Tribolium castaneum: one gene and its partners. The protein of the gene in region 1 binds, or shares a complex with, the protein of each later gene. Links are inferred from orthologs where the notes say so. Each region holds a gene or a part of one and is shown in the gene's direction. Other genes may lie near its edges.

Region 1 (10,363 bases):
GTTTTTTAGTTTGCCCAATGTGTGGTGAAAAGTCGGTACACACTAACTGCATGAGAATCAATTGCATGATGATTTAGATTTAGTTTCATTTTTCACCACATATTTTCTTAATTTAAATACAGTCAAATTTAATTTTATTTAATTACTAGCAACAGCTCGATTTTTTGACTAATTTTAATGGCTGTCTGCACCTAATTTTCTTTTCACTAATAAAATGAGGGGCGAGTCAAGTGTTTGAAGTGTAAGGTTTTTTACAGAACTGCCAGTTCTGCCACAGTGGAGACAACGAAGATAAGCTCCTGTTGTGTGATGGTTGCGATAAGGGCTATCACACGTATTGTTTTAAACCCAAGATGGAAAATATTCCTGAAGGTGACTGGTACGTACTTAGCTATTTTATTGCCCCAGTTGTTAATATTTTTTGTTACGGTTTCCAATTAAATAAAATATTTAACTAATTGATCAAAAAATAAGGAACTAAGTGGTTATTGCCTCAAACTATTTTCTTTCTAAGAAACGAATTATCTAGTTATTATTATTTATTGTTAGTTATTCTAACTACATATCGCAACGTGTTCTTCAGATTCAGACATTACGGTTTTTTTTATTGAAGCGGGTATCTAAAATACTTGTTTCTGTTAAAAAAAAATGATAAGGGATAACACACAAAAAACGGTGGTTACCATCAGTTTCATTAGAATTGTTAGGCAGCTCCAAAAGGAACAATTGAGTTAATAAAATTGCTTTCACCTCGAGAATTATATTTTTAACAATATCTATAATAATGTTTGGTCAGAAGTTTTCGATATAGAACAAAATCAATAAAAAAAATCTTAAAAATGTGCCGTTTTTCTTAAAACGCTATGAAAACTGCACTTAAAAATCAACACTACATATTAAAGAAAAAAATTAGAGAATTAATTTTTTTACAAAAAAATCCGCGACACTGTAACTATGTCTGACGGTTCAGGCCCTAAAAGACGTCATTAAAGAATTTTTCTTTTTTATTATTATTATTACAATTTGTGTTACTACATTAACAAAATTGAAAAACATTTGCTTTTAAATTTTTCTAGTGTCTGGTACAGTTGGAAATACGCTATCAAATTTTTTTCTAGGAGGATTTAGTTCGTTCTTACACTTTTTAAGTAATTTTAATAAACTCACATAAGTGTTGCAGCGCTATAATTTTTAATAATTTTTAAAGTTATTTATTTTTCATAAAAATCACTCCCAATTGTTAATTTTCATTTTCGTTCAGGATGTGGACTTTACCCGAGAAAATTTTCGTTTCAGTTTTATTTCATGGTATTTCTATTCGACTATAGTTTTATTTGCCTAAAAGTGTACATTTAATTGATAAAAGATCACTCAAATTCTGTTTCATTCAGTCTCTCCCATGCTTTCTTTCACTAATTTGAACCGTTTTAAAGTTGATAAAACGCATTTTGTGCGCTCAATTCTAAAATGAAAATCGTTTTATGTATCATCTTCATTTTTCGAAGAATATTCACAGTTAAATACGCTACAGCAAAGATTTGAAATCATGCTCAACCTCTGTCAAAATACTGACTAGAAATTATTCTAAAGAAAACTATTGCCGACTAACATTTTAATCCTGATCCTCCAAACACAATTTTTCTCCAGAAATATATTCCACTGGCACACACTAAACAGTAAACACTCGCGCACTACTGAACGGCGAAAATTCATAACACGCACTGATCACTGATGATAGTTCTATATTTTGAAAATCGTAACCAGCAAAACTCTAACTTTTATTTTATTTAATAAGTTTATGAGGTGTGTGTTCACGACTACAGCAAGTGACAAACTGAATGAAATCAAACGGCACATCAGTAATTGATAAGAATGCTCATAACGTCATAACTCGTCTGTAACAAAAAATAATCCATTCATGTAATTAACTGCTGCAAATAAATAACGAAGTTTTCCTAATGTATTGATTTTTGGTGCGTTCCTTTGAACTTTTTTGGATAGAGTTAATACACGTATACAGGGGGGTGAATTTTTGAGGTCTACATATATTTTGAGCTCATTATTTAAGTGTAACGTAAATGTTAACACTTTACCGAAATCTTCGCGATTATAAAAGACACGCACACATACATTCGAAATATACAAGGCCATTTTTATTGAAGAGACTATTTGCTAGTCGATTATAGAGTAGGTACTAGAAGAGGCATATTTTTTTAATAAGTAAATGAACGAAAAATTAATTTGTGTAGGTATTGCCACGAATGCATGAACAAGGCGACAGGCGAGCGCAATTGCATCGTTTGCGGCAAGAAATCGTCGACGTCTGGCACTCGGCTGATTTTATGCGAACTGTGTCCTCGCGCCTACCACACCGACTGCATTCACCCCATCATGCACAAAGTTCCTCGCGGCAAATGGTACTGTTCCAAATGCATATCGAAAAAGCCTCAGAAGAAGACGATGCGTAAAAACCACGCAAAGTCTAGCAAAGATAGCGAACTGTCCGACCATCCTCCTTCTAGGTACCTCTCAATTTTTCGTTTTTTATTTATTAACATGTCGCGTCTCCAGTCCCGCACCGTCTCATAGTTCCGTTACGACGAACGAAGAAGCAACGAATTGCAACCAAAGCGACGTCTCTAACTCGAGTCTCGGCAACGCAGGCTCTCCGTCCACGCAAACGTGCAAGAAGGACCGCATCTCGAAGAAACTACTCAAAGAACTCGCGCCGTGCAAGACGATTCTGGAGGATTTGGAGTGCCATGATGACGCGTGGCCCTTTTTGCTTCCGGTGAATACGAAGCAGTTTCCCACTTACAAAAAAATCATCAAAACGCCGATGGATTTGTCGACGATCAAGAAGAAACTGTACGATGTGAGGTTGGTGTTTTGACTTGAAAATTGATGGTGTGAGTTATTTGGGCGTTTTTCTAGTTATAAATCCAAAGAGGAGTTCGTTCTGGACGTGAGACAGATTTTCAACAACTGCGAAGTGTTCAACGAGGACGACAGTCCTGTGGGAAAGGCAGGCCACTGCATGCGCCAGTTTTTCGAAGCTCGGTGGAACGAGCTGAGTATTTCAAATAGTTGAGGACTACTTTATCCCAAAAGACCTTACCATCGAAGAATGCGGCCCCCGGAAAACAGTGTTTAAATTGCGATGAGGTGTGAATACAAACTAATTTTTTCAGAAAAACAGTACAGGTATTTCCAGTGTGTGATATTGACTTTAAAAATGTATACTTCAGCTTTTTATCGTTCGGAAATTGTAATTATTTGAATGCAATTAAAGTCTTGGATTTGCGCATCACTTAATGAATTGACTTAAACAAGAATGTGATTTTTAGTTGGTTTCTCAATTTGTATTAATTTGTATTTTTGATAATTGTGTATTTTTTTATTTAATTATTTATTTAGGATAACTATTTTGTTCATTAAATGTTCAGTGGTTTCTATTTATTTATTTTTCTAACTCAATTTCAGTTTCCCGACTTGAAGTCTGGTTCAGTTACAGTGAATAAATTAGAGTAAGAGTTTGTATAAAATGTAAAGAAATTTCTTCACATAATTGCATCGCTCAACATTAAATTAAATGTCTCTCTAGCCTATTACAAAATGTTTTTATGTAAGCTGAACATAGTTCTCAAAGGAAAGGATGTATTAATAAATAATGTGTTTGGTAGGCTAGTTCTCTGCAGCGCTAAACTGCAACTCATAGAACTAGGTTATGTATTTTAATGTAAGATATTTATATTAATTATATTTACTTATAAATGTCGCCTTTTTTCATTTCTCTCCAACCGCTACTACCCTGTTTTCCAACCACACGTTGGAAATTTTTGGAATTCCCGCGTATGGATGTTTAAATTTCGGCTCTTTGGTGATTCGGTCAGAAACACAAGCTTGTCATTTGTCAAACGTTATTATAACCTTAACTTTTCGGAACGTAAATAACAACAAACTTTGCTTTAAACTTTAAAAAATGGAACAAACCACCACCCAGCAAGTAAACGTTTACCGAAAAATGTTAGCAGCGTCAGTCTGCAGCATTCTAATGGAGTCTGGTTTCGATACGGCCGACAAAGAAAGCCTCGGTACTTTAACAGAAATGATCCAGTGCTGTAAGCCCCTCAACCCTTTTTTCGCGAAATAAGCACACTTTCTTGCAGTCCTAACCGAAGTGGGGGCACTTTCGAAAAGCTACTGCGAGTTGTCGGGCCGTTCGGAGCCCGTGGTGGCCGACGTGATTTTAGCATTTGTGGAAATGGGGCACAATTTCAACGACTTGATGGTGTACACAAAAGGCATGAAGCATTCGGTTTTACCCCCACTACAACCACAGCAGCCCCAGAAGCAGCTAAATATGTTACCAGCTGGCTCGAAGCACCCTTTACCCCCTTACATCCCTCAGCATTTACCCCAGTTTCCGGACCCCCACGCCTACGTTCGCACTCCTGTAGGTTTGTGCTGTTGGGGCGCGTCAAATATTTTATTGTTCTATTACAGACACACAAACAACCAATTATTGATTACGAATCAGTGAGAGAAAAAGCGGCAGTTCAGAAAAAAGACATAGAAAAGGCGTTAACGAAGTTTCTTGCCAAGACTAACCCCACACATAATTTGTTTGACACAGATGAGGCGAATATTTTTCCACGTAAGTGGTCCGTTTTTTATTTGGAATTTTTATTTCGTGAGTGGTGGTCAATAGTGCTCTGGAAAAAATTGGTTGCAGAGCACTCTTGACTACGTTTTTGTTTTATACCCACTATAGCAATTGAAATATTTTAGTGATAGCTTGTAAGCCTGCGTACCCCCCTTACTTGAGCGCTCTCCTGCCCCAGGATCAAATTTTTGATCCTGAAGACCTCGAATATGACCACAAAAGTCAAATGATGCAACAATCAAAAGAACAAAAAGCGAAAGAAAAAGCTGAAAATAAAGAAGAAGAAGAGACTGAAGAAACACTAAATGATTCCACAAAAAGTGAAGAAAACACAAACCCAAATGGGTACATTGATAATCCGTATTTGGCCGCAACGAAGCTGCCTAAAAAGGACGAAATGGAGGTGTCATAAGTAAGACTAAATTATAAGTTTAAATTTTTTATTTATACAACATGTAGTTATTTATAAGAATCGGAGTTATAGAAATGAATATAACAAGATTTGAATCAAACACAATTTTGTTGCTTGTTGCAAACAAGAATGGCTGGAACAAAGCCTCCTCTTCCAAACTTGTCATCCATCCGACCACACTTTCATTCCGATTTTGTACTTTGAGCCACAACATCAAGGGCTGGAAGTACTGAAGCATTGCTTCAGCAGACAGGCGATCCGACTGTCCTCTAGTTAACATTTTTATCACTTCTTTCCAATGTCTGGCCTTCCCGACTTTTAGCAAGTCCCTAAAAATATCTAATTAATTTTTATTACAAGTATTGAACAGTCATTACGATAAAACGCGTCCGGCTTCCCTCGACCGGTAAATATCGCAATTATGCAACGGCCCCACATGCCCTGAAGCAAAACACATCGAGCTGTGAATTTGGAATTCGAGCAAAAGCGCGACGTAATATTTCATGTACGGAATATCGGCGGGAATGTGGCGTTTTGCAGCGGCGTCGAAGTGGTTTTCAGTGCGAGGGATTGGGGGGATTAATCCCTGGTAGCGCAGGCGCAATTCCCACCAAACTGCGTTCATGTTTTGCACCCCGTTTTGAAAAATTTCATAACGCCACTGGAACAATTATTTTTTTAATTATTTAACTGTGAAAGGGAAAATTGGCACTTACTGCGTCCACTAAATACGCAAACGGGGCAAACGCGACTTTTTTCAAAGCCATCAGCATCAAAAAGTTGATGTTGGTTTCGTAACTGTCGGTGTTTTCGTTGAATAAGCCGACTCGGTGCAAGTGCACCGGGTTGAAGACTGATAGAGAGATTGCGTTCGAGACTCCTTCGTGGAAGCCAGGGTTGGCCCCGTCTCGGTACAGATAGGGCTGTTCGCTGTAGTGCAGGTAGTACTGAATGTGGGCCATTTCGTGGTGTGTTGAAATTAGATCGTCCATGTTTACTTCAGTACATTGTTTTATTCTGTAATCAATTTGGTTACAAAAGTCCCACGCACTTGCCGTGCATTGTACTTTGCGGTCGTTTGGTTTTTCGAACATTGAGAAACGCCAAAATTCAGGGGGCATGGGCTTGAGGCCGAGAGATGTGTAGAACTCTTCGGCCATCTGAAACATTCTGAAAACGGTTTTGTTAATTAAAACTTTCAAACACCCGCTAATACTACATTCCAATACAGGCTGTCTCAAAATTGACGCCCGTGCTTTAATATGCGATTTGGAATTTTTTCCGCATGTGCACACACCTAATTTATAACCGAGCTTTTAACATATCGAAAAATCTCGAATGTTGTAATGCAGTAGTATTGTATCCTTTTGTTTACTTGTTGGTATATTACTGCCATATATAATTGATATACAGAGTGAGATTAAAGTAACGCATAAAATTCGTAATTCTTTTATTTAAAAAAATATGAAAAATGCAAAAACAGGTAACTTAGCATTTTAATTGAGCTCAAATTTGACCTAGCTGGATCAGTCATGGCGGCCAATATGGCATATGTGTGAATCTAACATTCCACCTGTGGTCAGTGGCGTGACAATTAATTTTCTAAAGGGATGTTCAATTAGACAAATGAATCGTTTTTTTCAAAAGTGGCATAATCTACAGTTTGTTAGGTAATTGTTTATTTTGTTACCATTATCGATCTTTGTTAAAGAGCGTCTTTACAATGTTTTCCCCTAATACAGCCTATGAACCCCTGACTGCTATTTAAATATGTGCCACTGCCTTGTTAATATCGCTTACAATGGAGGTAAACACTGCCCCCCCGCGTACCCCTCGCCAATCGTTAATCGATTAACACGCTGCAGTATAAGTGATGTGATGCTGTGTCTTCTTTATCTTACCTCCATGTTTTAAACACACAAAACCGAAGAAAATTAATAATACTTGTCACTAGACAGAGCGATTCAAAGAATTTTAACATCGTTAACATAAACTAATGAATTATGTTGCACAAATAATTGGAAAGACAGCATAAACCTTATTATTATTTACATTTTTATCAATAACTCGATAACGAAGGACAATTGGAAAATTTTTTACTCTTAACTTTCATTTGTGTTAGCTCCCTGAATCAAATTCCCAAAGCACAGGCGTCAATTTTGAGACAGCCTGTATTAGTCCCTTCAACACACAACACTTTTTAAGCATTTTGACCTTGTTTTCGAAGGTGTTTAAAAAAGCAAAACTATACGGCACCACCATTTTTTTTATCAAATCTACCCCCTTTTTTGAAGTTAAAATTCGCTATTTGACGTTAAAAGATGTCCTCTTAAAATAGAAATTAACCTGTCCGAGTATTTTTTTAATATATTAGTATAAATACCAGATAACCTGTCGTTTTTGGTGGGCTATCCTGTATTATTATTATTATTTATTATTACTATTATTATTAAGACATATTTAAAAAGTTAAATTTTGCCATCAGCTTAGGAAGCTCTGATGAATTTCAAAGGATTGTGTGATAATTATGACCTGTTTATGTTAAAAAATCAACTAAACCCATAATACACAGTTTTTATTAATCGAAGAAAATTATAATAATGAATATGAATAATTTCTCTTCTTTCTTTTCTTGTGTTCTTTTCGAGTGTTAATCGATTGCTACAAATAAAATAAAAAAATAAAATAGAAATGTTTTCTCACTTTAAGTTCAGATAGTGATTCAAAATACACGCCATACTCGGGAATACTAGATAAAAGTCTTCGTTCTTGCCATCTTCGTCTATAATTTTTAAAGCGGCATCACAGGGCAATTTATCATTAAAAACAAATGAACCCATAACGCGAAATTAAGGGAAGTCTTATCGTGAAACATTATAACACCTCTCTCAGAGAAAACTCCCTTTCGAATATCGATGGTCACATCGGTAACCGAAGGCCTGAGCCTTTTTGATATTCAGCATTATGTATGAAATTGCACTAAAGCAGCTGCCATGGCTTTATTTTTGACTCTATTAACGCTTCTTATGTGCTGCACTTGACGATACTCTTCCGATATTTTTTTAAATCCATTTTATCTACAAACAACTGGCTTTTTACCGCGGTTTTATATTAATTCCTATCTTACAATAACTTGAAATAACCAACAATAAAAATGTTAAAACTACGGATATCTAAAACTTAGGATACGACACACAAATAAAACGTCCCCATCCTCGATAGTTCCGGTAATGTCGCCAAAGGCGCAGTTGCTCCATTACCGTCTACCGTCTTTTATAAGCAATAAATTTATAAAAATAGTTGTAATTAAATAACGATTAGCGCAAGGCGAATAAAAAATACAGGCAGATGGAGCATTCAATTCTCAATAATAGGAGATAAAAATAGTGCAAAAATTATATCTTAAACTGTATTTAAAAAAAATCAAAGTCCCGTAATTTTTTGTGCTTCAATTTGAGTATTTCATAAAAACGCCCAAACAATTTGCTACTAAAAAAAATTTCGGCGCTTAAAACGCCAGCTTTATTAGCTTCTTGGTTAATGCGTCTCTGACGCTAATTATAAATTTAAATGATCACATGGTGTTAATAAAAGTGTTGCGCTTTGATTGGGAACCAAAAGTCAGTTTTTTTAATTTAAACATAATCATTTTTACCTAAGTGGGGTAAATCCCTGTCTCAGCATTTCATCAGTCACATCAATAGTCTTAAACTCGGGATACGGCGCCACCAAGTCCACAATCTTGCTCCAGTCCTGCGCCCAAACATTCCCCAAAAGATGTGCAGGCAGCGGCCCCTCGGGCCGGACCACAAAGGGCCCATAAAATTGCAAAAGTTTTCTCCTCACATAAGTGAACAATTCCCGGTACAGCGGCTGCAGACTCGCCCAAGTCTGCGCAATTTCAATCTCGAAATTCTGCTCCTCATACACATATCTCATCTCCTCTCCCGCGTCCAGAAACCCGTTCATCCTCGCGGCCTGGTTGGCGATTTGCACATATCTCATAAACTTATTCTTCATCGGGGGGCCCACCTTGTCGTGCCACTCCCGCCACACATGGGCCAGCTCCATGTGGTTGCGCGAATTGCCCACGATCCGGACCACGTCCGGCTCCAGCTCCAGGTCGCAGAAGAGGCTCTCCTGGCTGTTGAACGGGCATATCCTGATGTGGCTGTAAATGTCCTTCATTTCGGAGATGAGGTGGTAAATCTCGTTGTATTTCTCGTCGGTTAGGCTCGCGCGGCTGTTGGTTATCAGGAATTTCAGCTGGCGCCTGACCATCTGGTCCGGGAGGCGAGTCCAGTCGAAAGTCATTGTGCGCTTCCAGGAGAGTTTGTTGAATTTGGCTTGGAGGGTTTGCTCTTCGATCATTTTGCGTTTGTTGAAGTCGGTCATGTTGGTTGAGTACGTCCATCGGGCGGAACTGACGCGGTGACATATTCTGGAGGCCTCGCTGTCGTATTCACGCAGGAATTGCAATGCTTCGCCTAAGTTTACGTTCGTACCCTAAATAATAACGGTTATTGGATTAAACTAACGGGCAGCGACTTTTTATTTACGGCAATTTTTGGAGAAATGTTACTACAAAAGCCATGATTAACATAGTTTGTCATCTGTAAATGCTACTATAACTGAAGTCAAATTCATATCAATGTATTACTAGAGTTCTGAGATCTTCGATCCATATTATGTGGTACAGAGTTTATTTCGCGAAACTTTACATAACGCAGATAATACTATTAATTGTATTATTCTGTGATCAGTTTTAAAAAGTACATGCAAACAGTTTCATAAAGACACCAATGTTCAGCAAAATAAAATCCTGACTGTATATGCCCATTAGGCTCATGTTGCTTTTTGTAATTGATAACCTTGGCCAAAACAAAGTTAATATGAAAATATGTGGTAGCGACTTACTGCAGATTGTTTTTAGTTTGTTAGTTTTTTTACATAATACATAAAATCAAATAAGACAGGAATTCAATAATTAAATAAGAGTAGTTCACTTTCTTTTCATAGTTATGTTGTTTTCATTTTTATTTGCGCATAATTTATTCAGCGTCAGAGAGGTGGAACAACAGCTAACGTAATTAATACAGGCTGGTCTACGAGTAATAATGAGCCTAAAAAATTTTTGAAGCAACGAACATTACATTTCGTAGGGCACATCTTAAGAAGGGGAAAATACCTTTTGTTTTAAGAGAAAAAGAGATGAACGTAAAGGTGAAATTATGTCTATTTTCGGTCAAAAACTTGCTAAAAGTCACAAAAAAGATAAAAACTAT
Region 2 (11,557 bases), on another chromosome or scaffold:
CGCGCTCATTATCGGCACCATCATCGGCAGCGGCATCTTCGTCTCCCCCACCGGCGTCTACCTGAGCACCAGGTCGGTGGGCGTCTCCATCATCGTGTGGTGCCTCTCGGGGATCTTCTCCACCTTGGGCGCCCTCTGCTACGCCGAGTTGGGCACCTCCATCACCAGGTCCGGGGGCGACTATGCCTACATCTACGTCGCGTTCGGGCCTTTGGCCGCGTTCTTGCGCCTCTGGATCGCTCTACTGATTATCCGGCCCACCACCCAGGCCATTGTGGCCCTCACCTTCGCACAGTACGCCGCCAAGCCCTTCTTCGACGACTGCCAGCCTCCGGAAAACGCCGTCAGGTTTTTGGCGGCGGCCTGTTTGTGTAAGTCCGGTTTTGAATTTTTGAATCTAGGAGTGACCTCTTTCGGGAAAGGGTGATACTAACGGGTTCAGCCGCCCAAATTATGATAAAATATTGGTTTTTTTACTTGAAAATGATTAATTTGCTGATGAAATAGCGTAAAAACGAGGGATATGGATTTGCGTGACGTCGGGCGCCCACATTTCCCTCGAAGAAAGTATGATGCAACAGCGTCACAATTGAGGTGATGCGTTCAAATTTAACAATAGCAACATAGATCCGTACTTTTTTATTTAAATTATTTGCACATTGGAAAGCACATTCATTATTCATTTCACTGTCTAGCTGGAAGGTATAAATAATTAAATAAATTACTCTATCAGTCCACATATTTATTTATTTGCCGCCGTTTTATTGTTGTATCGATTATTAAAGTTATACCTACTTGCCTATTGTTTTATTCATTTTTTGTTTGTTTCTGAAGTTCTAATTTTAGTTGTCTTACAAGAATATTTAAAAATTTTCTAAACGTATAGTTTTAGACTATTATTAAAAAATGCAATTTAATTAGTCACACAGAAATCAGCATTTGCTATTAAATTTTTGATTTTTTTCTCTATGCATGTAAATTTTTTCATTAGTTTTTTTTCAAGTAAAGTGCACCAGTACCATTATATCCCACCTATCACCTTTTCACAAAAGCATAAAAGTTGTCAGGCTGTGCCACTCTTTTATGAAAAAATATAACCTTGAACGTTCTAATGTTTACTTTATTATGCAAGTTCCCAATGTATTATTAGTTGTATCACATTTTACGTTACATTGTTGAGAAACCATTATAGCAGTTCACACACTTGCAGTTTTTAAATGCGCTATCTGTAGTTTAGAGCAAAAATAATTGTTTTCGATATTATTTAACAGTTTAATTTTCTCAATGTTAAAGTGATGTTTTTAAGAAATTATTTTTGTGGATAACACAAACAAATAGTTTTTCGGTGAGAAAGTTCTGACATTAAACATTGCTTAGAGAAACAAATTTTTATTATTTCTGAGACACAATCCCGACAAATCGCTGATAAGAGCCATTGTTTTCAATTTCAGGTCTTCTGACGGCAGTTAATTGCCTGAGCGTCAGATGGGCTATGCGAATACAAAGCGTCTTCACCGCAGCTAAGCTATTAGCCCTGATTGTGATCATTCTCACAGGACTTTACGATGTAGCAATTAATGGTAAGTAGAGATTAACAATAAAGTCGCTACTGCCTGTGCGTGACCACAAACATGAATTCCCTTCACCTGATGCTTTTTACATCTTGACACACTTAAATCGAATTTTCATTTCGCAAACTTGCTCACTGCATAATCATTCGTCCGAGCAACTCTAACATTTCACTGGACTCGCCCTGAGTTAACAAATTAATTCTGTTTGTCCCGACAGTGCATTTATGCGATCAAATATTTAATTTCTTGAGTTGAGTCGCACTTGACCTCGCCGACTGAAATTTTGCAGGTCACACTGAGAATTTCGAAAATGCGTTTGAGGGAAATTACGAAATTTCCCAACTCGCACTCGGATTCTACTCCGGATTGTTCGCTTTCGGAGGCTGGAATTTCCTCAATTTTGTAACGGAAGAACTCCAAGATCCGTACAAGTGAGTATGCGACTCATTTAATACATTCAAGCGAAATAATTCAATCACCGGATCGCACAATACGACTTTGATGGATGATGGGAAATGAGACGAATCTGATTAACAAACTCGGTTAATTCGATTCAAAAGGCTGAATTCGGGCGTAATTGTCTAAGACTGCTTAAGGAAGGAAAAAACCAGTGACGTGATCTTTAAATGGATGAAGGGATTCTTGAATTAAACATTGTATTTTCTCGCCACCGTTAAAAGTATTTTATTGTAGTTCTTCTCACTCAAACGTCCGCTATAAATCGAACGTGATTTTAACCTGATTGAGCTACTTAAATCTAGGACGAGAGGATGCGTCTTGTGCGCTCCACTTCTCGAAATATTAAAAGAATGCAATTATGTGCGAGAATTTACCATCAAGGCGCTGTTCGCTGCGAATTTAAATGTAAATTTCGAAGTCAAATATCTCCGAACTGAATACGAGTTTTTCACTTTTCTTTTTTTAATGCCTAACTTGTTATGTAAGTGAGAGTAAATTACAAAATTAGAAAATACACGCAGCCTTGAATTTGATAACACAAGTTGATGGGTTTTATCACTTTTCTGATCGTCAGCTTAGAAGTTATTAAGCAACGTGTAATTTTTTCCCAATTTCTATTTATTGAAACATCAATTTTATTTTTCGATTAAAGCCACGTGCGGTTAATGATCGATAAAAATGCTTTCAGTCCCCAATCATAAACTGAGTCTTTAGTAGAATAATGGTGGATTTTATTGCCCCTGACTTACACATTTTCAGGAACCTCCCTCGTGCCATATGGATCGCCCTTCCCATGGTGACCGGCGTGTACGTCCTTGCGAACGTCGCCTATTTCGCCGTGTTATCAGGAATGGAAATTGAAAGTTCGCCGGCTGTTGCGGTCTCCTTCGGCCTCAAAATGTTCGGTTCTTTCCACTGGCTAGTTCCAATCTTCGTCGCTTTGTCCACTTTTGGCGGAGTTAACGGAATTCTGTTCACCTCTTCGCGGCTGTTCCTCACAGGATCTCAAGAAGGACATCTCCCCGACTTATTCTCCTTCATTCACGTTAAACGCATGACCCCCATACCCTCACTGATATTCACAGTAATGATCCCCCAAAGTTTAGCAATTTTTAATGCCCTATTTTTAGTGTGTAACCTCTTTAGCAATGCTTCTAGTCAGTGATGTCTTCGTTCTGATAAATTACTACGGACAAATATTATGGTTTTCTGTGGCGGCAAGCATTGCGGGAATGTTATGGCTGAGATACAAGCAACCCGATATGCCAAGGCCGATTAGAGTGAACATGAGTATCCCAATAATATTTTTGTTCTGTTGCGCGTTTCTTGTGATATTCCCCATACCCTCGCAGCCGTGGAACACAGTCATTGGAGTGGCCATCACGCTGTCAGGTACTTAATTACGGAATTTTGACAAAAATAACACATTTTTAGGCATCCCTGTGTATTATTTATGCGTCAAGTGGCAAAATAAACCGGAAAAATTCAACCAAACTTCGCGAAAATTGACGGAAATACTCCAGAGTATTATGAACGTGACTTCACCACAAGCGGAACAAACACTGTCCCATTCTTAATTTATTTCAATTGTAGGTTTATTTATAAAAATTATAATTTTTTACAGTGTCGTATTTGCAAAAATACCTGTATGGCAGTATAACATGACTGTTTCTTTCAATAACCAATGGTGTGAATATTTTCACGGTTTATTACAAAAAAAGAAACATGAAAAATGAACAATATCTTAATATAAAACACTGCAGGCGATAGAAAACTATTACGGAAAAAATTAACTGGAATCCTACCAAAATAAAGGATTTTCATGACGAAACAACTTAAGACTCATCGGGAGTATGCCAAGCGAGACGTTCCTCATAAAACTGAATAACAATTTGTGGACACTTGACGTTTGCTTCCTTAGCTGGGACTAAATCGGTCTCGTCGGTTCCCTTCCACTTCATCAGAAACATCAGCTGTCCTGTGGTGTCTGATGCTCCTATGATTTTCTCGGCTTGGTAGCCCCGTTCAAAGCCGACTTTTGATTTACTCTTGGATGAACTATCCTTCCCCTTTTCAGATTTCGACTCAGACTTTCGCTTTTTCTTGGATTTTTCGTCGTCATCGCCTTCTGATTTCTTCTTTTTCTTGGACTTATCCTCGTCGTCAGATGAGTCAGACTTGTTTTTACCATTTTCGTCGTCGGAATCTGCGTCTTTTTTTGAATTCTCTTTCTCGTCCGTGGAATCTGAACGACGGCGAGCTTTCTTCGACTTGGGCTCGCCGTCGGAGTCCTCCGTTTCAACCGCATGCTTCTTGGGCCTGCCTTTTGATTTCTTTTCAGACTTCTCTTCACCGTCCTTGGATTTTTTCTCTTTCTAGGGATACACAATTAAATAGATTTCGGGTCGAAGTGGGCTGGTTTTTGCTTGGCTTATCCAATAAACCCACCTTTTTTTTGTCACTATCCTCGTCCGCACTTTTCGTGGTGGAAGACCTCTTCGCCTTGGCTTTGCGCGACTTTTCAAATTCCGCTATGAGATCGGGACAATCGAGATTGTCTTCGGGTTCCCAAGTATTATCGTCTTCGCTATAACCTTTCCACTTGAGAAAATATTCGACCTTTCCGTTTACGACCCGCCGGTCGATAATTTTCTCAACTGAATATTCCTCCTCGCTCTCGCTGTCTTCTACCTTCTTTTTGCCCATTTCTGCAGTTTTGTTTGCGAATAACCGGTAAAGCGATGCTGACTGCGTACTTCTGGAACAATAAGTATTGCTTGCATTCAACTTCGTTACTAAAATGCTGACTAGTTAAGGTAGTGGATAATAATGCGATTGGAGCCGTTATTTACTTACTTTCAACTCTGGCTCTTAAAAAGCCACCACAAAACACCGCCGAAAAGATCCTTTTAATGGCGCTGGAAATATGGCGGGTGGCGGTTAAGAAAAAAATGGTGCCAACACAATTCAACCAATTAAAAATTGTCCAAAAACGACTCTCAGAGTTTTAAAAAATATAGCCAGGAGTTACAACTCTCATACTGCGCTCTCTGAATGAAGAGAAAATCGGATTGTTGCGAAATAAGCCTAGATTTTTTATAAATCGACGTTGAATGGCAGGCTTTAGGGAAATTTTGCGTTATTGATTGTTGTCATTTGCATTAAAGTGTGGTTAGGGAAACGTCAGTTTGTGTTGTATTTATTATTTTACGAGTTTATAAATGAGCGCCGAAGAAATGGAAAAATCTCAACTTGCAGCCGTTCTGCAAATTTTGAAAAAATACAATTTAAAGGTGAGCTTATGGCGAGTAAGCACAACGTAACATTTTTCATTAGGGCACTGAGGAGCTGCTACGAAAGGAGGCCAATCTCGGTAATAACATAGCTGATGGCCCTTTGCAACAAAATTCAGACGTTAGTAGCGTTCTGACGGGGTACAAGAGTGACGGAGATCCAGAAACCTATGAGGACTCTTACATGGAGTTAAAGCGTTTTGTTGAGGGCTCCCTTGACATTTACAAACACGAATTAGGCATGATTTTATACCCAGTTTTGGTCCACATGTACCTCGAATTGGTTTATAATGGACATACGGAGAAAGCGATAAACTTAATGAAAAAATTTGGCCCCGAACAAGACTCGTACTATCAGGAGGATCTCAGGAAGTTGGCTTTGGTCACAAAACGGGACCATATGAACGGGAACGAATTGACAGACACCTTCAAATCAAACCAGTTTATTATTCGAATGTCGCGTGACACTTTGTCACTTTTAAAACGTCACTTAAACGACAAAAAAGCGTCAGTTTTGCTGAACATCATCCAGGAACATCTCTACTTTGATATGTACGAAGGCGTAGCGAGGAACAAAAGCCAGATTGATGCCACGTCAGGTGCCGTTGGGGGAGAGGCAAAACGACAAGGTTCATTTTCGTTATCATAATTACAATAAACACATCAAAATTCCAGATAATAAAACCAAAGTCTATTACGGCATCCCCAAAGCCCCCGACATTCAGGCACTAGCAGCGCCAGTCGAAGACGAGGACGAAGGCGGCGAACAGGACAATCCGGACAAACCTAAGAAGAAAAAAGCCAAAAAAGACCCACTTTTCTCGAAAAAAACAAAAAATGACCCAAACGCTCCACCGCCTGATAGAATTCCAGTCCCGGACATGAGAGACCACGATAAGTACGAAAAAGTGAAGGCGTACAGAGAGGCCTCAAAGAGAGTTACGTTAGGCCCGGATTACCTCCCTTCAGTTTGTTGTTACACCTTACTTAACGCCAATCACACGTTAGTTGAGTTTATTCAGTGAAAATATTTTCTTTATCGGGGGTTTTTTAGGGTTAATTGTGCTGAAATCACCGAAGATTCGAGTATGCTGGCGGTGGGTTTCAGCGATTCAATTGTTAAAGTCTGGACACTTGTGCCTCAAAAACTGAAGGCTATGAAAAGTGGGGAGCAGCTGGAGGATGTCAATGTTGACGTAGAGGATGTCGTGGTAATGTTACATTTTTTTTTAATAATGAAATCGATAAAGTACATGAAAAAATATATAATCAATCAAAATTAAACGATAAGTAAAACTAAATCAGTAATTTCGATTACAATTTTTTGTTCAGAAAAGACTTTTATTATTACTACAAAAGTAATCACTCATTTTTTTAATACAACATTAAATATATTCAAAGTTAAGTTGAGATTTTAGTTTTCGCCCCCATCAAGTCGATAAAGTAGACACCGACTTAAATTAATCGACTACTTGAATAAATAGCGATAAAAATAGGTCGTTGCCGTGTGGAAACCGTCAACATGTTTAAAATCGCAAAATAAATGACTGGAAGGTGTATCATTTTTATTCATTTAAACAGTGTACTTAAAGAAATCTGCCAAGATAGCAACTTATCTGTCATCTTGGCCAGGTTCCAAAAACTTACATGTTTTCAACATGCAGGTGAGAATGATGGATGAAAGGTCCGGTGAGACTTCCAGATCGCTTTACGGCCATTCAGGGCCTGTTTACTCGGTATCATTTTCCCCAGACAAGACTCTCCTTATCAGTTGTTCGGAAGACACAACAATAAGATTATGGTCGTTGCAAATATGGACTTGTCTGGTGGTCTACAAAGGACACATGTTCCCCGTTTGGGACGTCAAATTCTCTCCCTTGGGCTATTACTTCGCTTCGGCGTCGTACGACCGCACTGCGCGACTTTGGGCCACCGACCATTACCAACCGTTGCGATTATTTGCCGGTCATTTCTCCGACGTCGATGTAAAAATTATCAATTTTTTTTTAATATTTTTTTACAGAAATTATTAATTGTAGTGCGTCCAGTTTCACCCAAATTCCAATTACGTTGCGACCGGTTCCAGCGACCGCCGCGTCTGTTTGTGGGATTGTACGACGGGAAATCATGTCCGACTTATGACTGGGCATAAATCGCCCATAATGTCTTTGGCGTTCAGTGTTTGTGGGCGGTTTTTGGCTTCCGCGGGGGTGGATTGTAAAGTGTTGGTTTGGGACTTGTCCCATGGACACTTGGTTGCAGAACTCACCGGGCATGAGAAGCCCATCCATGCACTTGCTTTCAGCAGATGCGGGAATATTCTAGTTTCAGGAGGGTTGGACTGTTTGCTCAAAGTTTGGGATTTTACCAAACTGACTGAGGAAATCAGCTCGGAGGAAGTAAATGTGTCGCATAATCCCGATGTGAGGATCGGGGATGATTATTTATTGAGGAGTTTTGCGACGAAGAGCTCGCCATTGATCAGCCTTCACTTTACGAGGAGGAATTTGCTATTGGCTGTTAGCATGTTTGATGGTGTTAGCACTTAGTTTATTGTAATGTGTATTATTTACCTTGATAAGAAATAAATTTTTTAACGATTTTTTTGGGGTTTGGTTTATGAATCGCTTGAAATAACACTAAAATGTTAAAATAGAATTCCGAGTTGAAAATAAACAGTGTCAACAACATTAAAAATGTTTGCCAGGACTTTTGCCAAAAACATTCATAATTTCTCTATGACGAATCAAACATTTTTATAATTAATATTCACACCGATAAAGTCGGTTATTCAATACTTGAAAAGAAAAAAGTAATGGTCTTGTACGTCGAAGTAATTACTTTGGTTGAACAGACGTATTTTTGGCGTCCAATCAAGAATAATATAAACAAGGATTTATTTTCGAAACAAATTTGTTGTGATAGAAAATTAATATCGTTACAAATTTTTACGCTTTGACTGGTTGTTAAAAAACAAAATAAATGTTAAGGTGCTTGTTTTAACTTTTATTTGAATTAATGTACATGTTTGTAGCTTGTTTTGTTGCGTTTGAAATTAATTTATTTGTGAATAACGTTACCTAAAAATTAGGCAAAGGATATGAAATTATTCATTAAGCCAATGTACAGGGTGAGTCTGCTAAAAGTATTATTTACAAATATACTATTTCAAAAGTATTAATTACTTTTTTTCTATACATGTAATTTTTTCCGAATATTTCTCCCTTTTCGTTATAATTAAAATTAATAAGACACCGTATGTGGAACTACGGCAGGGCCCGAAATGCCCAAAAAATCCAGCTAACCTACCTCAAGCCTAACAAGCGAAATCAAAGTAAACACATATTTTGTAAAAATATCATCGAGCGAACAATGCCAGTGGTGTGGCAGTGAACTTGTTTACGTACCTATTTTTCGAATGAACTATTTGAAAAAGGTACCTCAAAAATTCGCATTACGTGTGCTAAAAATGACTCGAGCATAAGCAAACCCAAAAACAACACTTGAAAATATCTGGAAACTGTTTACGGTTGGGATGATGGAGTAAACCCCACCCCCTATAATACGTCATTAGCTGAAAGCTGTGCAGCGTTCAGCCAGGTCCTGGAAAGCAGAGCATCTTAAGCGACAACGTTAGAAGCATCTGAGTGATATTTGATTCCCGATCGCTGCTGCAACACTAAGTAAGATATTTTTACGCTCTTAATTATAACATCGCAATTAAAAGTTGCTTCCTAAACTAGTTATTAAACTGGAAAAAAAAATAAAATTTCACAATTTGTGTGAAATATGGTGCACTTGAAGCTTTGGCCGGTGGGGCTTTGCATAATTTGCACAAATAAAATCATAAACATGTCCGGCTAAGTTAACATACTGCATACCTGTGTTAAAAATAAGTGTTTTCGGAAAATACGAAATGAATTGAGAGCATTGAATACATCGATTCTGGAAACCATCCAATAAACATGAAATTATTTATGTTACTAATCAATTTTTAAAATAGTTATGACAGGATTAAGGAAAAAATTCCAGGTCTTAAGACGTTAAACTTGGGTGTGGGTGTTACATATATGGGTACCCCCATTTGTTATTGAAGTGGTGGTTAAAAATAGCCGGCATTTATCATAAATTTTGATTTTCCAACGTCTCCAAATTATTCGCTTATTAAAATATATTGGCACTCGCTCACATTCTTCCATGGAATTGAATTACACCGAAACGAAATGTTCTAATTGCAATTGGCAACAATTAATCCGTCTGTTTCAGTATCATGCCAAACGCAAACGAAACCGGAAACCTCCTGACAACCTACTTGATCCTTATTGCTCTATTGATAGCACTTTGGGTGCTTTATGCCGGACTTTTGCAGTAAAATCTGTAAGTATTCCTGACCTATTTTAATCACTGGCACGATATAGATCACGTTTGGCAGGCACTGCTCTAAATTTAGCCATCGGTATGTTTACATCCTTCATTACGCCTGACATATGCATCATTAACTTTTGTTATTGCGGCGCAATAACTGCAATTTTTACGTTCCAGGGCCATTCAACTATTGTCAAACGGACCACTAGCCTAATTATGGAACAGCCGTTTAAGCAGTCATTTGTATTTTTATAAGTATTAAGACAGTACAATAAGAAAATGTAAATAAAGTTTTGTTTTTACGAGGTTTTTTTGTTCGGGAGGTAAGACATAACACATACTTTACAAAAATATATTGCGTAAAAATGATCACAGTTTTATCTGAAGAAATTATTAGTGACGACATGCTGTACACATTGTAGTAAGACATTGCGCTCGTGCCTTATTTCACTATCTAACAACTTTTCCAACAGAGTTACCTTACGTTTAACGAATTTCATTCGCGAAAAGCCACCCGGTTCAGGTTTGTTATTTAGTTTTTGTTTCTTACCACTAGATAATCTTCTCCGCTTGTTTGTTTTGACGACTTTAGTATCACTCGCTTGTTCATTTGGATATTCTACTTGTTCTCTTTGTATTTTTTCTTCAGTTGGAGCGTCATTATCGACAGTCTGAGGCGTTTCTTCTTCTTGGTCCGACTCATACGCACCCATTAGTGCTCCCAATGCATTATTTAATTCAACAGTGACTTTTCCCGAACCATCCATCCATTCCTCATCATCGTAATCACTCGTTTCCTTCTCATCCTCTTCGTTATATAATTCCTTGGTGCCTCGAAACGGAAACATTGTCCCATTCCAGTCACATTTTTCATCAATTAAAGATTGCTTCGCTTGTTCGGGATTTTTGACAACTTTCGGCACATTTTTCCGCTGTTGTTTTTTGTGCCTGACTCGTGACACTGTAACAAAAAATTTAAATAAATGACTCAAACACAAACAAAAACTTACGTCTTGTCTTATCCTTCCCGAATCGATTTTTCCTCTCCCCAATTTTCTCCCCCCTTTTCAACATCTCCTCCCGTCTTTCGTACCTCTTTTGGACATTTTCCCTGCTCGGGTATCGAACTTTTCGTTCTTCGATCCATTTCGCGATTTCTTCGGGCGTATTAACACTTCGAATTTTTTCATAAAGGCCAGTCAAATGTTGCATTTGGATATGTTTTTCGATCATTTTTTGAGGCGCTGTGTACTGGCACCCATCCACACCGCATATTCGGTGCTGCGACATGTGATTCTCGTAATGCTCTCGCGTATAAAAATCCTCTTCGCAAACATCGCAAAAAAACACTTCAGACTCTGGATTTTCTTCGTATTCGAAGTCGTCCCAGTCTTGTTCGGTCGTCTGTTTGCAGAAAAATTAAAATTAACGATTTTTTAATCCGGGGGTGCTGTTTGGTGCAACTAATGGGTTTTTAAATTAAGAAGCAATTTAAGAATTTGTTGTCTTGCACCAAACCCACATGTGATAGAAGATGTCGGATAGTAAAGAAGAAATAGTAGTTGCAAAATTTGACAATTTAAAGTTGCTTAATTTTTAATAACTTATGAAAAATTGATCAACTTACGGGCATTTTCCATGTTTTGCAAGAAAACATTTGAGTTTCTTGAGATGAAATTTTGGATTAAAGTCCAACAAATTTGTCTTTGGACACAATTTTCAATACACTGGGTACACGAAATGCGTACAGGGTGCCCCAAGTTGTACGGTCGGCCAAAAAATGAATACCGGTAGCGTCAAACAAATCTTCACAAGGACAAAAGTGTTTTTTAAGTATTTTTTTCATTTGAGCAAGGTCACGAACATCGT
Region 3 (11,343 bases), on another chromosome or scaffold:
TGTGTTTTTATCTCACAAACGCGGTAAAATTGCAAAACTTGTTGCATTTTCGAACGATATTATTATTATACTTTCAGTTTATTTTTGGCAAATTTCGCAACACAATCGAACAAATTTAGTGAACTTTTTGTTTGGTTTGTTACAATATGTATGAGAAAGAGTGAAATTGGACAAAAATTGGAAATAAACAATAAAAACCACATTTTTTCCTGTTGAAAACATACACTGTAAACAGTAAAAATTGGAACAATAAACATTACATTAAAAAATCAATCAACAATTACAAACAACCTGTAAAAGCATTATTAACCCTGCGATTAAAACCGAATCGTTAAAAGCAACTAATTTTTCACAAAATGAAATTATTTTGCGCACCCATGCTTGCAACACTAATGAATTGCTCCAACTTTTTGTTTCTTTTTTACAACACAAATTCCATTATTATTGTTATATCCGGCTGTAAATTTCACTTACTGTTAGTAATTAAATCAAAAATACCATAATTTTTGCATTATATTCTGATTTAATTGTTTTACCATTTGCCTTTATCGCTTTCTGCAAATTAACAACACAAAACAACTACTTTAAGTGAATAATTCTATGCATTTTTATTAATTATTAGTCGTTTTGCAGCTTTTCATCTAATTTAAATCAAATAAATGCTTTATTATTACATTATTAAGACACGGTTATAATTAGGCATCCAACTTTCACTTTTACCAAAAAATAACTCCCTTTGTTACGACCACAGTGAAATTTTCATTTCCATTGTCACACGTCGTTTCTCAAAGATTTTTTAAATTTTATTGCACAATTGTCTGACTCAGACCGGACATTTTAATCAGATTTGGGTGAAATTATCGAGTGCTTGAACCCAACAACAACTCAATCAACATTTCCACCCAAAACATAGAAACAATGGACTTGATTAAATTATTATTATTAAACTAAAACCTTGTAACTCCAACGGTATCTTGTGGGTAAACCGAATAAAAAATTCCCAGCCAAGAAATAACTTGATTAGTGTGTCATTGACACGATCTGGAAATTCAACTTAAAATTATCGTTAAATCGAGCACAAGCTAATTATTCGCAATTATTCTAAAACAGAACACTAGAAAATGCTTTTATAATAATTAGGTACCCATCCGATTTTGAGTGAAAGCACTGTCATTTTATTGTCTCTGATCCAACTCCAAAAAAGTATCATTACAGGAAAACCGGCAATTGTTGAAGAATTGTCGGAAAGAAGCAACAAAACGGTACTGTTGCCGTCATTTACAACGTCTATTAATTATTTCAAAAGAAGAACGAGTTATGCCGGAAAGAGGCTTTTCTCTAACGATTCCGGATTTTCCGGGAAACACATTTATTGCGCCAGTTATCGATCACTTCAAATTGTTGGCAGTGACACTGAACGCGGATAAATCACAGAATAATGCGACTCAAAGTTGAAATTTTATTGTGGAATATTGATGAAATTTGTCATAGATTTCCCTGACGTCATTTACGTGCCAGAAAAGTTATTGTTTCAAAAATTCACAAATTATGAAAAACATTACAATAGTGGAGCCGACAATTTACATATTTTATTGCAATAATAAATTAATAAATAATAATACCTCCAATTACTACTGACAATAAGCTCATTCAATACAATTGAATTGAAGTAAGATTAAAACGTATTTTCAGTAAATTAGTTAGTTTTGTATTTTTGCTGACTAATAACAGCTACGTAGAAAACCGTTATTCGGGTTAACGTCACAAAATTTCAACGCTTTTATTTAAAGCAAACGCTACACATGTGCGTCCGATGTATTTAAAAAATATGTATAAAAGCACTTTATTTCTACAAAGATAAATATCTAAATTTAACCATCTTTTGGCAACACAGGTTTACACAAACAAACGAAAACACCATAAGAATCTTCATTGTGCTAAAATTTTTTAATCTGACCAATCGTTTAAAACTCAAAACAATTATCATGTTATTGTTACAAAAAATGCGTTCAGAAGATATTCATTAAAAATATTGGAATATTAATGCAATCGAAATTATTATTTCTAAACAGATACTAAAAAAATGTTTTGTGAGAAGAATACGTAAAAAAATTGTAGCAAGCCCCAAAATTACTTTTGTTTCATATTCAAATTTTGGTTTAATTAATTACTTACGGAAGCTAGCAGCAATTATTCTAAGATTTTGGTGCAAAATAACATTTAAAAATCGTTTCTTTTAGAATGATATACGAAAAAAAAATATGCAGCAACTTATTATTAAAATAATTAATTTTGACAAGAAGAAATTGTAGAATAAATCAAAAAAAGTCATATGCACAGAAAAAATTATAAAGTATTTAATAACAAAAGCTGATGTCTGTGCGATTATTAATTTTTGAGGTATAAAAAATATATACTTTTGATATTGTAAATACTTTGTGTAATAACCAATAATTATTAAATCAAGTTGGCAATATTGTATAATACAGAAACAAAAGATATAAAAAATGACGTTTTACAAAATTCAGTATTTCTACATTTTTTATGTTGCCAACTTAATTTTATAATAACAGGCTGCTCTGATCAGGAATTCAACTGAAAGCAAAGTGGTACTTGGCTTTGAAATGAAGTTGGTGGCATTGAATAATGTAAAAGTCTAAAATATCCCTCAAAAAATGTAACTAAAGACATTAGACGCTTTATTCTCAAAAAAAAAAAAAACAGAGACTGAGGACCGGTTTATAAAAGCGTCATTAATTTAATTCGCAATTAAATGAGTGATTAAAACTGATCACGTGACTAAACTGAGCTAATGTGATTGGTCTTTTCGCGTTGTTAAGTATTAACAACGAATTAAAATTTGATGAAGCTTTCTATAAACTGGCCCTGAGTATACTAAAAATATATTTTTACGAAAACTAATAATCGCACAGAATTCAGCATTTGGTATTAAATCCTTTGTATTTTTCTCTAAACCTGTAATTTTTTTCAGATTTTTTCTAGAATTAATTACATTCAAATCGCTACAAAAAATTGCTATTTCTTGTGACAACGTTCAAATGTTGTTTCGTGTTAAAAATCATTAAAAAATTTGAAATACACGTAATTTTGGTGCTAGCAAAAATTTTTGTAAGAGTTTCTTTCTCGAAAACATCATTTCATATTTTTAATTTTATTGATATTAACATCCTTGATTAATTAATTTTAATTAGAAGAAAGGGTAAAATTTTTGAAAAAAAAAAACACAGACATAGAGAAAGAAAAATTTCTCGTAAAAGTAAACGCTTATCAAATATTTAAGCAAAAAAAACACAAAAAAAATAATTGCTGTGAAGCCTAATAAAGAAGTTCAAATTCGGTTAAATCACTAATAGTTTTTTCATATATTTTTTAAATAGAAAAAAGAATTATAATTTTATAATTATAATTTATTAAAAGAGCTTAGTTTCTTAAAATCCTTCAACTTATATAACTCATAAGATGTGTTTTCTTCACTAACGTTGCTTTATTTTAATTTAAATCTGAGGAATTTCCACATATTAATAATAATAACAGAAATATAACTTGAGAAAGTCATAGCTGGAACAACCTGTATATGATTCATGCAAAAAATTATAGACAGTTCTCTCAACAACTGGAAAAACAGTTAATTAACCGACATGCAATGTCCATCACCTGATCGGTAATTTATTTAAAACGGTTCAAAACAAAGAACAATGCAACAACAAAAAACCGACCTCATCCCAAACATTTAAAACGCAACTTATTAAACCAAACATTAATTCATTCTGTGACGGAAATTAATTAAATTTGTTGTGTGGGTGTAAAAAATCAATATCAATTAACTCCGATTTATAATTAGTACAAAATGTCTCGTCCCATCTTATTGTTTTTTTTTTCTTTCACGAAAATTGCATCTGAAACCTTTCACATAAAGCTTTATAGATTTTCCCCTTTTCAGTAGCAATAACACTGACGTTTATTTCTACAGTCCCGACAAACTTTACGATTTTCGTTTTTCTTCTGCAATGTGCACTTAGCTCTCGTGCAATTTTACATCCCCAATTCCCACCGTACGAACTTTATGCACCTGCTGTAAATTTTCATCCCTTTTACACAGCTCCCACCAGTCTGTTTCTTTCATTTTTAATAAGTCTGGCGAGGGGCAATTCCGCTAATGGTAAGACTGTTTGATATACAAAAATCGAAAATAATCAAATATTTTTTTTGCTCTGCATCAACATCTATTATTACTACGTATCGCTACGTAGAAACAATCATCTTATTTACGAAAAGTTATACATAATACAAAAAAAAAATTGTACCTAACTCGCAATTCATGCAGCACTCGCTAGGCTCGTGCCGTAAATCACCAATATCCCACCTAACATTTTGTGCAGTTAATAGTAGTTTATTTGAAGTCTCACAAAAAAGAAATTTCGAAAGATAACTTGTATTATAAAGAAGTTGTGTGCTACAAATATGTCCCCAGGTCAAAGTTTGTAATTTTATTATTTTCTAAATTAATCAATAAATGTTTCATTTAATAACTGTTGTCATAAGCAGGGGTGGCCAAAATTAAGTAATAGATCTAAATAATTTTAAAAAAACTTTAGGTACTTGTGACCCTTGAAGTCCCCACAAATTGTAGCAAATAACTGAGCATTTTTTCAGGGAAATAATCTAAACGTGGAATCGCGACTCACCTTCTTGGTTTAGCGGGGTAATGGTGGTGGTTGAAGTGGGAGCCAGTGCAAGAAAATTGGGGCACAGCAAGCCCCATCCAACGCTCTAAGGCCCCCTGCGTGCAGTCGGCGAGCACCTGCGTGAAAAAATTCAAAATAGCCACAATTTCGTGCCTTTCCAAGCGTTCCCAGCTAACGGTTTCGCACACAATGCTGTGGACGCTTGGGTGATCAAGGGGGCTCCAGGCCCGATTTGACATTTTGACAGTTGTCATCCAGCAAACAAAAGCCACCAACTGGGATACTTACAACGTGATTTTGTTGCCAAATTCGTACGATTATCACACTAGAACATTGTCAAAAGCGGTTAATTGCGAATTAACTGGTCCCGCAATAAAACAACGAAAAAAAAGCGTTTTTGTGTCGTTCACCGCGACGAATCGACCCGACACGTTATCACAATTTTTATCACTGCGAATTGGGCCTCAAACTCGAGAGAAATTCATCGTTTCATTTACTTCGCCTTATTTTACACACAATAAACAAAATTATTGTCAAATATGAGTGTGATATATTGACTGGAATTTGACACTGGCGCCACCTCAGATTTGCACGGAACTACAGAACTACCAGTAGAGGGAGCAGCGATCGCTCATTTTTTCTGTCAAAATTAACACATAACCTTACTTCATTTCCAAAAAAATAAATAGATAATGTGAAAAAAAGACACAATGGACAACATTTTTGCGAAACCTCCAGCCTCCACGAGTCAAATCATCAAAGCTGACCCCAACTACGAGTCCATGGACGAAGACGACGACTCCACTGTGGAGACAGTCAAAGTCGAGGAGACCCAGCTCACGTCTGAAATTCACATCAAAGACGAAGAAAATGTGTACCTGGAGTCGGATATAATAATGCCGGAAGCCCCTCAAAGTAGCAGCGCTCCGGCTAAGAAGAAAGAGGTGAAGACTAGGAAGGAGATGGAGGAGGAAGAGCGCGAGAAAATGCAGTAAGTTGGTGTAAAGTGGGGTTTACTGAGGGTTTGTTGTAAGGGTTCTAGTCTCGAATTTCACCGAGGATCAGCTGGATCGATATGAGATGTACAGGAGGTCGGCGTTTCCCAAAGCTGCAATTAAAAGGCTGATGCAGACGATTACAGGGTGTTCTGTTTCCCAGAATGTGGTCATTGCTATGGCTGGGATTGCCAAGGTCTTTGTTGGAGAGGTTGTGGAGGAAGGTGAGGATAATTCAAAAAAATATTTTTTTTATTTTCTCTATTACACCAAAACTATTCGAAAATGTGGAATTATTTTGGTCTAAGCCTATGTAAAATGATCCGAGGAATCGATGGGCGCCGAGAAAATCTCCAAATTCCCAATAGTTTTTTAGTTATGATTTTTTTAAGTATTAACCAGACAGCTTTCCAATGAAATTACGTCTAATAGTTTAATTTTTTTTATTTTTGTGAAGATAAGTGCCTTGACCACTAAAATTATGGTAAATTTTAGTTGACAATTGAGACCATCAGCTCGAGATTGAAAATACATTCGGAAGCTCAAATAACGTGAAAATACGTATTAACAACTTTTTTCTACAGTTGCCACTGCTTAAAGCACTCTTTAAGCTGTAAATTTATTATTATTTTTTTGATTAATTCAAAAGAAGTCGATACGAAAAAGCTTACACACCTCTTTCCGGCAGTGGTGTCACTCTAAAAAATTAGTAAAACAGTCCAAAGACTTAGAAATGTCAAACTCTTTTTTTGTGTGCAAAAAAAATCAAACATGTAAGTATTTGTGTAATTAATTATTACGCTCGATAAGACTTTCTTTATGGAATAGTGGTCTAACGAACCATTGCACTGTGGACTATGTAAAAAGTAAAAAAAATAACTATGTAAAATTACAAAAAAGTTAATTCCCTATTTTTTTTAAAATGCCCTTTTGGTTTAGCGAAGAACAGGAAAAAAACATCAATTTGAAGAGTTATAAAAAATTGTCTTGGAGCCGTGCTTTGAAATTTTAGGTCGCAGTTAAACAAAAGTTCTAAGATTATAATTTTGAAAAAAATTTTTCTTTTCTGTGCCCTACTGTTACAATAAAAAACCGATAATAAATAATAAATTCAAGACAATTGGTCGCCTCTAACAATATTTTTAAATAGCAAACAGATATGAGTAAGGAAATGGCAGTAAAAAACAATAAATCATAAACTAGAAGATTTTTCTAAAAGCTTTTTTTGTTTTTGCCCATTTGCCTATTAAGTGCCAATTTTTAAGTTTTTTTAATTTTTGAGTTAAAAGTTGCAACGTCGTAAATTAAAAAAACAAACTTAAACAAACAATGTACAATATTTCTAAATGCCCTTCGTTTTCAGATCAATGATGAATCTATTTTTTTTGATAAAGTCTCAATTGACATATTTTTAAATACAGTACTACTAGAAAAATCATTCTTTGTCACTGTACAATCACATTTTTGCTCACTAATACTCATTTACGTAATTAAAAAATAACTAGGAGCATTGCCGATTTTATAACTCAAGTCGGAGGCAAAATCTATACGTTAAAGATATGAAAATGACATAATAATTATTCCCAATTGTTATCTATCTATCCTGTTACTTTTCACGTTTATTCTATTTAAAGTAATGAAGCCTTTTGCGTTACATTCTGTCAGTAAGGTTTCGTTATATCACGGAATTTATTCCGTTTTTTGCAATTTTCTTAAGATTTGAGTATTACTTAAGACTTGTATTAGGTAAATTTAATTAAACTTGCACAAATTCAGATTTTTATTCCTGTTTAATTTGATGCTTAACAATGTAAAATAAATAATAATTTAATTCGGATTAGTTTAATTTTTTATTACCAAAATTTCATTCACTTTCTGCAATGAAGTCTTACGACTTCTTATTAAATAAATGACACCCACTTTTGTTGTAATTAGTGAGTTTTAAACCACTTTGTTATTACTGTTACGAATAACTAACACAAAACTTACAATTGTTTTTTTAACGGATCCAAGACCACTTTTCAATTGTCGTTACGTGACATCAACTCTGAAATGTATTCTAATAACGAAAAAATGCACACAATTGTTTTAATTAATTAGATCATTCATACGTCCGGGGTATCTTATCTTCTTGTAAATATTAATAGTTCTAGTGCTCTAATTGAGTAAAGAAATTAGTAGACATTTTCGAACTTACTCAATGATTTAAGAAAAGTTTGACATCGGTTTTTATGTTTCTTTTTTTGTCTACATATTCCAGATAATTTCATTTAGATACAGTGAAACCTCTAATATTGAATAATTTGAGAGTAAAAATTTTTTAACAGTTTTAACTTTAATTCTAAAAATTCATGTCGCAAAGCATTTTAATATTGTCATTAATAATTGTAAATATTTGTAAAAAAGGCAAACAAAATCTATTTTTGGAGATGCATTAGTACCTACCTTCCCTGCCAAGCCTGGAAAAATCTGTAAAAAATGTTGATGCACCGTTGCAGTGATATCGTCACGCTGGAATATTTATTTAAAGATTGTTGAAAGGAAATTTTAAGTCACTATTTACAAACAAAATTGATAGTTTTGAACTTATGACCGCCAGAAGCTCAATCATTTGGATAATCATTTCCGTCATAAAAACCTCACCAAATTAAAACCAGATGACTCGTCCCGACCTTGCATTCGTAACCAAACCCTCATTTTCCAGCTTTGGACGTAATGGAAGAACAATCGGAGTCGGGCCCTTTGCAGCCCAAGCACCTGCGGGAAGCCGTCCGGAGGATGCGCCTCCAGGGGGCCATCCCCAGCGGAAGAGACTACAGGTCACACTTCCGCCTCTAGACTTACGCTTTGAATTATTTTTAGACGTAATAAACCTTTTTCTATTTTAATGTTGCTTTACTTACGAACAAGCCCCGCATTATCGGCCGGGAGTGGGAAGCAGAGGCCAACGACTCTCTTATCACGGAGGGACGCGTCTTAGTCGCTTCCCAGCTTCCCTCGAGCAAAATGCTGATTAGAGTCATAGTGGTGTTTGTTTTAGGTAAGTGTGCACACGTTATTTTCAATTCTGCAAACGATCATTTAGGGTTGGAGCTGTGCACCGCCTGTGATATGGACCAGACGAAGCAAGGGTGCCGCATACAGAACAAGGCCTGTTCTTGCGGGTTTGGGTGCATTTCTGAGTACCGTTACGACACGATGGCCGAGTGCCAGAACGCCCTCCGGGGCAAACGCAGGGACATTTGCAACCCCAACCCCTGCCTGCATGGGGGCTCCTGCATCCAGATTTCGCAAAGGCCCAAGTACAAGTGCAGGTGTGAGGGCACGGGATATTTCGGGCTGCGGTGCAGCAGAGGTATATGAACAACAAACAATCCCTGTTTGCAGTCATGAAAATTTCAGTTTTTATTTAGACTCTTGGTATTATCGAGTGATAACCTTTGACACGACAACTCAAACTTGCTCAATGATTTTCCTAGTTCGATAAATATTGTTTGTGTTTTTCTAGCATGTCCTACGCCAGGGGTGGGCCCCACTGATGCCGTGTTCCCCTACGAATGCATAGAAATATGACGACCGCCACCAGTGCCCTGTTCGTGCCTTTGTATTTTTTTATTAAATAAAATGCGTTTTTTAATGGTGTTATTATTTCCTCCGAAAATTACAGAAACCAACAAATAAGCAAAACATTTTATGTTCTTAAATGAGTGCAAAATGTAGGGCATATTACAGGAGAATTGTTTAGAACCCGAACGAGCGCACTGAGCAAGTGAGCAATTTTCGAGCCATTATACATGAATATATTATCTACGACTGCATCATTGAATTACTTTAGTTTAATATTTGTTATCAAAGAAAGATTTGTTTTATCCAAAATAAATCAAAACGTCAATAAAAATGTTTTGTGCGTAAGAGCTGATTTTGGTCGAGAATGTATACAAAAAAACTGTGAAAATAATAAACTGCTAAGTAAAATAATCGAAATTCTAAGTAATAAACTAATAAATAAATAATAGCACAGCCATTCCATGATTACGGACGGGACATAATTATCATCTCTTACTATCAAAATAGCTTGTCTTAAAAAATAGTAGTGATTAAAGTGATGATTTTAATTTAAACATACGCCAATGATTAACAATTAAATACATGCAGATAATTTTCCCAAAATTTTTATAAATATTTGATTACGGACGGGACACGAATGCGCCTAGTAAAAATTGAGTCTAAAAAAAGGAAAAAAAAACCTGAATACTCTCGAAACAACAAAAAGATGTTAGATCTATTTAAACATATGAGAAATATTGTGAATAATTTTTTCATGAAACCAGGTAATAACGCGGAAGTGTAATATAAAAATAAAAAATAGTGAGATTACGGACGGGACTCAAAAATTATGCCGAGTAACAATTTTATTATAACTTACAACGCGAAAATTTTAACAAAAAAAAAGAAACAACTTACAATTATCAAAAACAACACCGTTTTTGTGATAATATTTTGTCGTAACTTTGGAAAAATATTCGTCACTACTTAGAAACATATCTTCCAATTAGAAAGCTCTTGATTTTGCGCATGCATAAAATTCTTTAGCATTATTAATTAAGTATAATTTTTTCTGAACAAACCTCGTTTCAAACTAGTCTTTTTCTGTACGCAAATGCTAAAAGAGCAAAAAAAGATTCCATTTGTTTATTAGAAAACTAAATTTTGGAATAATTGAAAATTTGAAATTTATGCGAAAGTTGTCAATTACCGTGGAATTGCTAAGCAATTACCATTTTCACCTCTGGTGTTATTTACCCAGCGTTTACGAACTGTACTACGAGTACTTAGCGTTTAATGAAATAACTTGGCGTTCAATTTTTTTCCCAAATAAAAAAAGGAAAAAAAATCTGAATACTCTCGAAACAACAAAAAGATGTTAGATCTATTTAAACATAACAGAAATATTGTGAATAATTTTTTCATGAAACCAGGTAATAACGCGGAAGTGTATTATAAAAATAAAAAATAGTGAGATTACGGACGGGACTCAAAAATTATGCTGAGTAACAATTTTATTATAACTTACGACACGAAAATTTTAACAAAAAAAGAAACAACTTACAATTATCAAAAACAACACCGTTTTTGTGATAATATTTTGTCGTAACTTTGGAAAAATATTCATCACTACTTAGAAACATAACTTCCAATTAGAAAGCTCTTGATTTTGCGCACGCATAGAATTCTTTAGCATTATTAATTAAGTATTAATTTTATTTTGAACGAACTTCGTTTCAAACTAGTCTTTTTCTGCACACAAATGCTAAAAGAGAAAAAGATTCCATTTGTTTATTAAAAAACTAAATTTTGGAATTATTGAAAATTTTAAATTTATGCGAAAGTTGTCAATTACAGTGGAATTGCTAAGCAATTACCGTTTTCACCTCTGGTGTTATTTACCCAGCGTTTACGAACTGTACTACGAGTACTTAACGTTTAATGAAATAACTTGGCGTTCAATTTTTTTCCCAAATAAAAAAAGGAAAAAATCTGAATACTCTCGAAACAACAAAAAGATATTAGATCTATTTAAACATAACAGAAATATTGTGAATATTTTTTTCATGAAACCAGGTAATAACGCGGAAGTGTAT

What was found. Proteins that work in one complex are often made in the same cells at the same time.
Region 2: transcription initiation factor TFIID subunit 8 (region 1) and Taf5 share a complex: the UniProt entries of both Homo sapiens proteins name them as parts of the TFIID basal transcription factor complex. The link is inferred for Tribolium castaneum from reciprocal best matches to the Homo sapiens genes TAF8 and TAF5.
Region 3: transcription initiation factor TFIID subunit 8 (region 1) and Taf11 share a complex: the UniProt entries of both Homo sapiens proteins name them as parts of the TFIID basal transcription factor complex. The link is inferred for Tribolium castaneum from reciprocal best matches to the Homo sapiens genes TAF8 and TAF11.

Annotation. Positions count from the first base shown.
Region 1 is NC_087396.1:13,177,703-13,188,065, forward strand, and holds transcription initiation factor TFIID subunit 8, read left to right. Parts: upstream 1-3,887; 5' UTR 3,888-3,982; coding exon 3,983-4,121; intron 4,122-4,169; coding exon 4,170-4,456; intron 4,457-4,506; coding exon 4,507-4,657; intron 4,658-4,791; coding exon 4,792-5,078; 3' UTR 5,079-5,106; downstream 5,107-10,363. Other genes in the region: tou (bromodomain adjacent to zinc finger domain protein 2B), read left to right, coding at 258-379, 2,250-2,522, 2,572-2,880, 2,935-3,091; angiotensin-converting enzyme, read right to left, coding at 5,107-5,407, 5,456-5,739, 5,795-6,248, 8,734-9,584. UniProt on the Homo sapiens protein: The TFIID basal transcription factor complex plays a major role in the initiation of RNA polymerase II (Pol II)-dependent transcription.
Region 2 is NC_087398.1:2,403,404-2,414,960, forward strand, and holds Taf5 (cannonball), read left to right. Parts: upstream 1-5,202; 5' UTR 5,203-5,266; coding exon 5,267-5,323; intron 5,324-5,366; coding exon 5,367-5,952; intron 5,953-5,998; coding exon 5,999-6,326; intron 6,327-6,377; coding exon 6,378-6,534; intron 6,535-6,987; coding exon 6,988-7,308; intron 7,309-7,362; coding exon 7,363-7,872; 3' UTR 7,873-7,925; downstream 7,926-11,557. Other genes in the region: JhI-21 (large neutral amino acids transporter small subunit 2), read left to right, coding at 1-371, 1,452-1,580, 1,861-2,002, 2,790-3,114, 3,161-3,422, 3,465-3,607; heterochromatin protein 1, read right to left, coding at 3,866-4,405, 4,479-4,736; FMR1-interacting protein NUFIP1, read right to left, coding at 10,066-10,649, 10,699-11,092. UniProt on the Homo sapiens protein: The TFIID basal transcription factor complex plays a major role in the initiation of RNA polymerase II (Pol II)-dependent transcription.
Region 3 is NC_087394.1:5,380,269-5,391,611, reverse strand, and holds Taf11 (transcription initiation factor TFIID subunit 11), read left to right. Parts: upstream 1-4,988; 5' UTR 4,989-5,416; coding exon 5,417-5,697; intron 5,698-5,740; coding exon 5,741-5,925; intron 5,926-8,405; coding exon 8,406-8,539; 3' UTR 8,540-8,589; downstream 8,590-11,343. Other genes in the region: protein crumbs, read left to right, coding at 8,708-8,741, 8,787-9,056, 9,210-9,274. UniProt on the Homo sapiens protein: The TFIID basal transcription factor complex plays a major role in the initiation of RNA polymerase II (Pol II)-dependent transcription.